2 linked regions of the Arabidopsis thaliana genome follow. The protein of the gene in region 2 interacts with the protein of the main gene of each other region in a biochemical or structural test. Each region holds a gene or a part of one and is shown on either strand. Other genes may lie near its edges.

Evidence for each region.
Region 1: of the proteins of HIS4 (region 2) and MBD9, one has a biochemical effect on the other in vitro, tested with the Arabidopsis thaliana proteins (one study listed by BioGRID).

The regions. Positions count from the first base shown.
Region 1 is NC_003074.8:171,152-176,363, forward strand, and holds the start of MBD9 (methyl-CPG-binding domain 9), read left to right. Parts: upstream 1-2,038; 5' UTR 2,039-2,164; coding exon 2,165-2,679; intron 2,680-3,102; coding exon 3,103-3,790; intron 3,791-3,880; coding exon 3,881-4,993; intron 4,994-5,098; coding exon 5,099-5,212. Other genes in the region: AT3G01450 (ARM repeat superfamily protein), read right to left, coding at 1-228. UniProt on the Arabidopsis thaliana protein: Probable transcriptional regulator that acts as a histone acetyltransferase. Mediates the acetylation of histone H3 and H4 of target loci (e.g. FLC). Involved in an auxin-independent regulation of shoot branching and flowering time.
Region 2 is NC_003071.7:12,328,615-12,332,093, forward strand, and holds HIS4 (histone H4), read right to left. Parts: upstream 1,446-3,479; 5' UTR 1,341-1,445; coding exon 1,029-1,340; 3' UTR 731-1,028; downstream 1-730. Other genes in the region: AT2G28725 (forkhead box protein G1), read left to right, coding at 1-329. UniProt on the Arabidopsis thaliana protein: Core component of nucleosome. Nucleosomes wrap and compact DNA into chromatin, limiting DNA accessibility to the cellular machineries which require DNA as a template.

The sequences.
Region 1 (5,212 bases), on a different chromosome or scaffold from region 2:
GTTCAAGTCTTTGGATTCTATATACTCAATTTCTACGATAACTCTCTCTGCCTCAGGTTTCTCAATCTCATCGCCTTTAGGATGATTGTGATCAAAGGGGACAGAGTTTTGTGGTGGTTTATCTTCAGCTGTTCCATTCATTTTGCCAACCAAAAGCTTTGTTTTATAGTCGATATTCCTCTCAGAGACAGGAAGATTCTTCAAATCTTTTAAAGCCTTGGCAGCCATGCGTACCTGAAAAGTAACAAAGAAGACGCCATTATAAGTACAAACAACATAAGTTTAGCATCTGCGATTACAAAACCAAAGATAAGATTATAGATGAATTTTCGACCTCTAGCTTAGTATTAAGTATTCCCAATGAAACCCTTTCAAAGTAGAAATGGTAAGATAAACACATTACTATGAGAGTTCAACAGCAATAACATTAAAGAGCAGAGATCTATCTACATTCCCAAATCTTATTTCAAACAATTACGAAATTTACTCAAAACAAAAGCAAAAAACCTCGATCCCACTCAAGGACTCTAAAAAGTTCAAACAAATCCTCGCAGTCCGAAATCTAACTCCGGCGCCGTAAACTACTGCAACCGCGAAAGATCGAAAACGCAGAAGAATAGAAAAAGTAGCGGCGAGTCAAGCGGTATCGATGACTACTAACTTGAAGAGTAAATAGTGAAGATTATTTGACTCGCGTACCTCTATAAATTCGAAATGCCAGAGAAAATTCAGGGAGAGAAAGAGTCGATGAAGACGACGAAATTGATTTCCGGCCAACAGTTCGCAACTCGTAGTAGAGTCGTCGTAGTCATACTCGTTTACACCGACGTCGTTTTATGGATCCAACGGAGGGGACCCATTTGTACGGCATATCTTGGGCGAAATTAATGTTTTTCTTTTCCTTCTCTCTGATACACTTTGGTTGGTTATTGTAAATTCCTCAAATACCCTCGGACTAGATATGCATTTTTATTTTTATTTAGATATGGAATTGGTATATACATATTTTTTAATACGTAAAAACTTGGATTGGTGTGGAAATATTTTATTTTCTACTAAACGAAATAAATTGAACGTATAAAGTACATCACATGTTACATGCACTGATGCACATGAGGAGTGCAAATTTGAAAATATAAGATAAGAAACATGTTGCAAAGCTGCCACCCACCGTATCCAATTGCTACTATTTGTATCAATCAGTTACAAACTGAAAACCAAAAATGAAATGACTAGAACAAATAATGTTAAAATGCACATTGAAATAGTTAACAAGGAAAGCATACATTGATCGATAAAACGAATCCACCACGTTCCAAAATATTTTGTCGCAGATGTTGCAGACTTGTAGCTAAGTTGGGCCGGTAGATGTAGGTGACAAGTGTTTACAAATCTGTTAACTGTCGCTGTGTTCCTCCTACTTTTGATTTTGTGTTACACTATTCAAAAGTTGGTCGACTCTTTTAATCGGTTGATTAGACTAGTACTTAGTAAAATTTGTTGTTAAAACTTAAAAGGGAGAAGAAGAAGAAGAATACTGCTTTAATTCTTAATTAATTTTTTTTTAAAATTAGTAGTATCATTAACGTGTTTATTACACCTTCCTCGAGTTACTTTCCTCGTGATGCCAATGGTTTTTTTAATTCTTTACCTTTTCTTCTGACACAGAGTCACATATTTGACTACGGAGGAGATCTATTGCTTCCTAGTTCCTACTTATCTTTATCGCGTTGTACCAACATCAATATAAAAGCAACATCTTACTTTATAAACTTCCGTAAATTTGATAACAAGTACAATCAAGTTTAAATTTTTCTAAAGTTAACATAAATTTAGCATCATACAATAATTAACATTTTTTTTAGGTTAAACTTTTGGTGCGTTACGTGAGTAGCAGCATCTTCGAAAATATGTTTAGTAGTAGTAGTGATAGGAATTAGGAAAAGGCACACACAAAAAAGAAAAAAAAAGGGTAAAAGGATTCATTCACGTTTTTTTGTTTTCTCTCTCCAAACAGAACTTCGGGAAAAGTGGACAAAAAAAAAGAAAAAAATTTAATAAGAAAACCTCTTTTTCTCGCAATTTGGTTTTGTTTTCAATCTTCTTCTTCTTCTTCTTCGTCTTCAATGCAAACAATGCTCGATTCCATTAACCTAATCGAATAATGGAACCCACTGATTCTACTAACGAGCAACTCGGAGACACTAAGACCGCCGCTGTCAAGGAAGAGAGTCGCTCCTTTCTCGGCATCGATCTCAACGAAATCCCTACCGGCGCTACTCTCGGCGGTGGTTGCACCGCTGGTCAGGATGACGACGGCGAATATGAACCTGTTGAAGTTGTTAGGTCAATTCACGATAACCCGGACCCAGCCCCTGGAGCCCCTGCCGAGGTTCCTGAACCGGATCGGGATGCTTCGTGCGGCGCGTGTGGAAGACCTGAGTCTATAGAGCTCGTTGTAGTCTGCGATGCCTGTGAGCGAGGCTTTCATATGTCTTGTGTCAACGATGGAGTTGAGGCGGCTCCTTCCGCCGATTGGATGTGCAGCGACTGTCGTACTGGCGGCGAGAGGAGCAAACTGTGGCCGTTGGGGGTTAAGTCCAAGCTCATTCTGGACATGAACGCCTCGCCGCCCAGTGATGCTGAGGGATACGGAGCTGAGGAGACGTCTGATTCGAGGTACGTTCCCCTGCTTCTGGTATTCGACGATGCGTTAGGGTTTTATAAGAATTGAATTTGGGTTGAGATCGAGAACATAGTTGCAAGACTTGGTTAAGCTGTCTTTACATGTATTGCGAGTAATGTGTTCGATTTTAAAGCGATAAACTATTGAAGATTAAGCTGGACTAGGATTTGGTGTTGTTGAATTTAAGTTTCAGTATAAGTTGAGCGTTCTGTGCTACCGTTCGTTGGAGTTTTTAAGGGGCCTTTGATCTTCTCTTATGAATTACTTATACATACGATATATTTTCAATCAGTTGTTTAGACTTTATTTGATTGGACTTGTCTGGCCTTATATAACATGAGTATGTCTGAGAAAACACATAGCCGAAATTGTAAAGCACTGATGGATCATGTGGTTGCTTGTTTCTTCTTCTCCAGAAAGCATATGCTCGCCAGCAGCTCTTGCATTGGAAACTCTTTTGATTATGCAATGATGCATTCAAGCTTCTCAAGTCTCGGTAGAGGACATGCTAGTCTCGAAGCTTCAGGGTTAATGTCTCGTAATACTAAAATGAGTATGGATGCATTGGGTTCACATAATCTAGGTTTTGGATTCCCATTAAACTTGAACAATAGTAGTTTGCCCATGAGATTTCCATCCTTGGATCCAAGTGAGTTGTTTCTGCAAAATCTCAGGCATTTCATATCTGAAAGGCATGGAGTATTGGAAGATGGCTGGCGTGTCGAATTCAGACAACCTTTAAATGGTTATCAGTTATGTGCAGTGTATTGTGCTCCGAATGGAAAAACATTTAGTTCAATACAAGAAGTTGCTTGTTATCTGGGCTTGGCAATTAATGGTAACTACAGCTGTATGGATGCTGAAATCAGGAATGAGAATTCTCTTCTTCAAGAAAGATTGCATACGCCCAAGAGAAGAAAGACATCAAGATGGCCAAACAATGGTTTCCCTGAGCAAAAGGGTAGTTCAGTGAGTGCTCAACTCAGGCGTTTTCCATTCAATGGTCAGACCATGTCTCCTTTCGCCGTTAAATCTGGTACTCATTTTCAGGCTGGTGGTTCTCTTAGCTCTGGAAATAATGGATGCGGTTGTGAGGAAGCTAAGGTAAGCGTAAAATTGAAATCTCTCCTGATTGATTGTTTTTTCCAATATTTTTGTAATTCTTACCCTCATGTTTGTGTATTTGATTTTCAGAATGGATGTCCGATGCAGTTTGAAGATTTCTTTGTTCTGTCGCTTGGACGAATTGACATAAGACAGTCTTACCATAATGTCAACGTGATTTATCCAATAGGATATAAGTCCTGCTGGCATGACAAGATCACGGGGTCACTATTTACATGTGAAGTATCTGATGGCAATTCTGGTCCCATTTTCAAGGTTACACGGTCACCATGCTCGAAATCATTTATTCCAGCTGGATCAACTGTCTTCTCCTGCCCAAAGATTGATGAAATGGTGGAACAGAACAGTGACAAACTTAGTAATCGTAGAGATAGTACTCAAGAGCGTGATGATGACGCTAGTGTTGAGATCCTTCTTTCGGAACACTGCCCACCTCTTGGAGATGATATATTGTCTTGTTTACGTGAGAAGAGTTTCTCCAAGACAGTCAATTCCCTGCGCTCAGAGGTTGATTCTTCTCGAGTAGATTTTGATAAAAATTTATCCTATGATCAGGACCATGGGGTTGAAATTGGTGACATTGTTGTGGAAGAAGATTCATTGTCTGATGCATGGAAAAAAGTGTCTCAAAAACTTGTTGATGCATGTTCAATTGTACTGAAGCAGAAGGGTACCCTGAATTTCCTATGTAAGCATGTTGACAGAGAAACAAGTGAAATCAACTGGGATACCATGAATGAGAAAGACAATGTAATTTTATCGTTGTCAAAATTTTGCTGTTCGTTGGCTCCTTGCAGTGTCACGTGTGGTGAAAAGGATAAAAGCGAATTTGCAGCAGTAGTTGATGCTTTGTCAAGGTGGCTCGATCAAAACAGATTTGGACTTGATGCAGATTTTGTACAGGAAATGATTGAACATATGCCTGGTGCCGAATCATGTACGAATTATAGGACTCTGAAGAGTAGAAGTTCTTCTTCTGTTCCTATAACTGTAGCGGAAGGAGCGCTAGTGGTCAAACCAAAAGGTGGGGAAAATGTCAAGGACGAAGTTTTCGGTGAGATTTCTCGGAAAGCCAAGAAGCCTAAACTAAATGGTGGTCATGGTGTCAGAAATCTACACCCTCCTCCTGGGAGGCCAATGTGTTTGAGGCTCCCTCCTGGGCTTGTTGGTGACTTCCTTCAGGTACGGATATACGTTTTCCTTATATGGTAATCTACAACCTACCCCTCCATTCACTAAGTCATGCCGCACATATATGATAGTCATTTTTTATGCTTGCCTAATTAGGTATCTGAAGTGTTCTGGCGTTTCCATGAAATTTTGGGTTTTGAAGAGGCTTTCTCACCTGAAAACCTTGAACAGGAGCTTATCAATCCAGTGTTTGATGGTTTGTTTCTTGAT
Region 2 (3,479 bases):
TTCTTGAAAAAACCTCAACACGTTGGGAAGTTCTTGTTCAAACAGCAACATGGACAATTCTCCTAATGATCACAGTGGCTTTGGCTTCATTTGCTCCGGAGATGGCGTTTGTGTCGAAATTAAAGTCATCTTCCGATGGGTTCGTTAGGATTCCGATGGATTTACCGGGAGAAATGTTAATCTTGCCGTCAGAAATGGTGAAGAATTCATATTTAGACGTTTTTTTACCAACGATATTCGCAGGAGTTATGGTCATTGCTTCTGTTTCTTTATTACGATCATGTTTTGGTATTGAAGGTGTTGTAGAAGAAATCGAAGAACAATGTTGATGACATTTTCGTCATATCTATGGGTTATATGTATGTAATTGATATTAATTAATCAATAAGGGTCCTTAGCTCAGTGGTAGAGCAATTGACTGCAGATCAATAGGTCACCGGTTCGAATCCGGTAGGGCCCTTTCTTTTTTGTTTTAGAAACTGTTTTCTTGTTTATATTAACCGTTCATTTTATTTGATCTGACGGTGATGAATGTATCGTTACAAATATGTGTTGGATCGATGACGTGTCATTAGATTTCACAAAACTCTGAATAATTTTCACAACAAATTCTTACACTAGGGAATGCGAAAATGATTTTTTGCAAGAAATATTATAAGCCAATTAAGTGTATGAATCTTATATATAAAGCTAAGAACTTTAAAACGCTCACATTGAGTCCATATTTGTCATTCGATTCTTATACCTCTAAACTTTAAATTGCTCACATTTAGTCCTTATTTGTTTTTCAATCTTCAAAAACATAGTTCAATCAATTCCTTTGATTAGTTTTCGATTGATAATCCTTTACCATGAATTTCAGAGATTAAAGAGTAATTAGAGCAAATGGTACTTATCATTAATCCATTACAATGCTGCCCTAATTACAACACAAAACGAAACCCTAAAATTCAACCCAATTTCTGGAATTTCTTGATCGCAAGACTTAAATCATCATCATTCACCAGAAAACCCAGATCTCAAATTGATCAACCACCAAATCCATATAGAGTTCTTCCTTGTCTCTTCAAGGCATAAACAACATCCATAGCAGTCACCGTCTTCCTCCTCGCATGCTCAGTGTAAGTAACAGCATCTCTAATCACATTCTCCAGAAAAATCTTCAACACACCTCTCGTTTCTTCATAGATCAATCCACTGATTCTCTTCACACCTCCTCTACGAGCAAGACGACGAATCGCTGGCTTTGTGATTCCTTGAATGTTGTCTCTTAGAACCTTTCTGTGTCTCTTTGCTCCTCCTTTGCCTAACCCTTTTCCTCCTTTTCCTCTTCCTGACATTTTTGTTTTTCCAGAAAGTTTTAAGATTTGAGTTTTCTGATGAGTAGAGAAGAATTTATTTTTTATTTATAAAGAAGATTGTTTGGGTTAGAAAATGAATCGTGACCGTTCGTTTTATTGTTTGATCGGACGGTCAAAGATAACGATCCGTGAGAAAGGTTTATGAGATATATGGATCCTTGATTATTAATGAATCGACGGTTGTAGATTGGGTTATTATGTTAGTCACGGATTGTGGATTTTTGATTTTTCCTTTTGAACCAAGTGAGTCAACCGGACCGGTTATATGTACTAAATTACAATGGATATCGAAAATAATTAGTATAACTATGGAGTATATTTTACTTTTACTTTTCAGCTACCATAAAAAAAGGTAAATTCTCAGATCTCTTTTTTTACTATCCATATATTTTAAAAAATTTAAAAATTGTTTTTTTACATTATTATTATTTGGACAAGTTGAATGCACTTGGAAAAAAAAAAAAAACATATTCTACTATAAGGGTTTGAATCCAAATGTGGTATAGTGGATATGTTGAACATAACTCCATTGAATTAATAGAAACAATTACTGTGTACTAACCGTAAGAAGAGACGAGACTCTATTTTTGTTGGAATGTTCTGGTTTGAAGCATTTTTACAGGACAACGTAAGGATGTGTGCTTTAGCTAGAATGAAGCAATGTCGTTGTAAGGAGGTGACGATTATTATTCTAACTGAAAACCATATTGTTATAAAGCCCTTGAGCTCCAAAGCTCTTGTATATCTAGTCTTTTTGTTTTCTCCTTTTTTTCTATAACTCAAAAACTCCACTGATGGTAAATTACAAGGTGTTGTTCTTGCTGAAATGTACTAGGATCATATCGATCTCGAAAAACTCGTAAAACGTGTGTTCTTGATTTAATCTCCAAAGTGAATACCATGAGTGTTTGTCATAGAATTCTCAACAAGTTGAAGACTTATCTAAATCTTGAAGAATGAACTCAAAATTTCTGTTATAAGATTTCTTTCAACTACAAAATGATATGCAAAATATTGGTATTAGCTTCATACCATAACTAGACGCACAAATCTTGATGAAAGAAACTTGCAGCCAAGAAATTCCTTCATGAATCGCATTCAACACAAAGCTCATCAAAGATCAAAACTCTGCTCTTCTCCAATGGTTTTTTCTTGCAAAGTCAACTTGTTAAGGTATATTTGGATCGGTCCTTTACCAAAATGAAAGAAAAAAACTATTCCGCTGCCGGGTTTGAACCCAGATTTCATCATTGAAATAAACATGTGTGCTACAGCGGATTGGTTGAAAGTATCTCCAATTAACTAGTATATACCCTGTCTAATTAATACTCTCTACCTATCACGTGTTAAGACCGAACACATATTAAGAGAAAGAGAGGAGAGCCACTAGTTTTGTTTAAGTGTTCTCTTAACAATGTGTGTTCTTGATTCAATCTTTTAAAAAAATGGTGTGAGTGATATATAATGTGGTTCTTTGATTGTACCAATTGACATATACTAGATTCATAAATCAGAAACTCAAACAAATACTCAGATTAAACACCACTATTAACTATTATCCGTTAATTTGACAAAAGAGTTTTGACTATCCCAATTTTCACAAGATATATGACTCATTCTGTCAACTAAGCACAAATCATCGTAATAACATCTTAGTAACAACATGTTAGTCGTATTTGGAAGAGATAAGCACTATCTTGATGGATTTAGTTGGTCCCACACTAAATCCGGAAATTATACAATTAAATCCGGGTATTGGGCTGCGCGAGATTTGTCTCGTCCTACTTGTGACCTCCCTTTTTAGGGACCGAGTGTTTTTGCACTTCAGGCACAAGTATGGAAGCTTAAAACTACGCGAAACCTTATGCATTTTGCGTGGCAATGTATCACGGGGTGTCTAGCCACTTGTCAAAGACTTGTCTACCGACATATTGGCACAGATAAAGGATGTCCTCGTTGCGGAGCGGAAGAGGAGACTATTAATCACATCCTTTTTCATTGTCCGCATTCCAGACAGATTTGGGCATTGTCACCTATTCCCACTTCAGGGCACCTCTTCCCTAGGAGCTCCCTCTTCTATAATTTTGATTTTCTCTTCTGGCGGGGCAAGGAATTCGG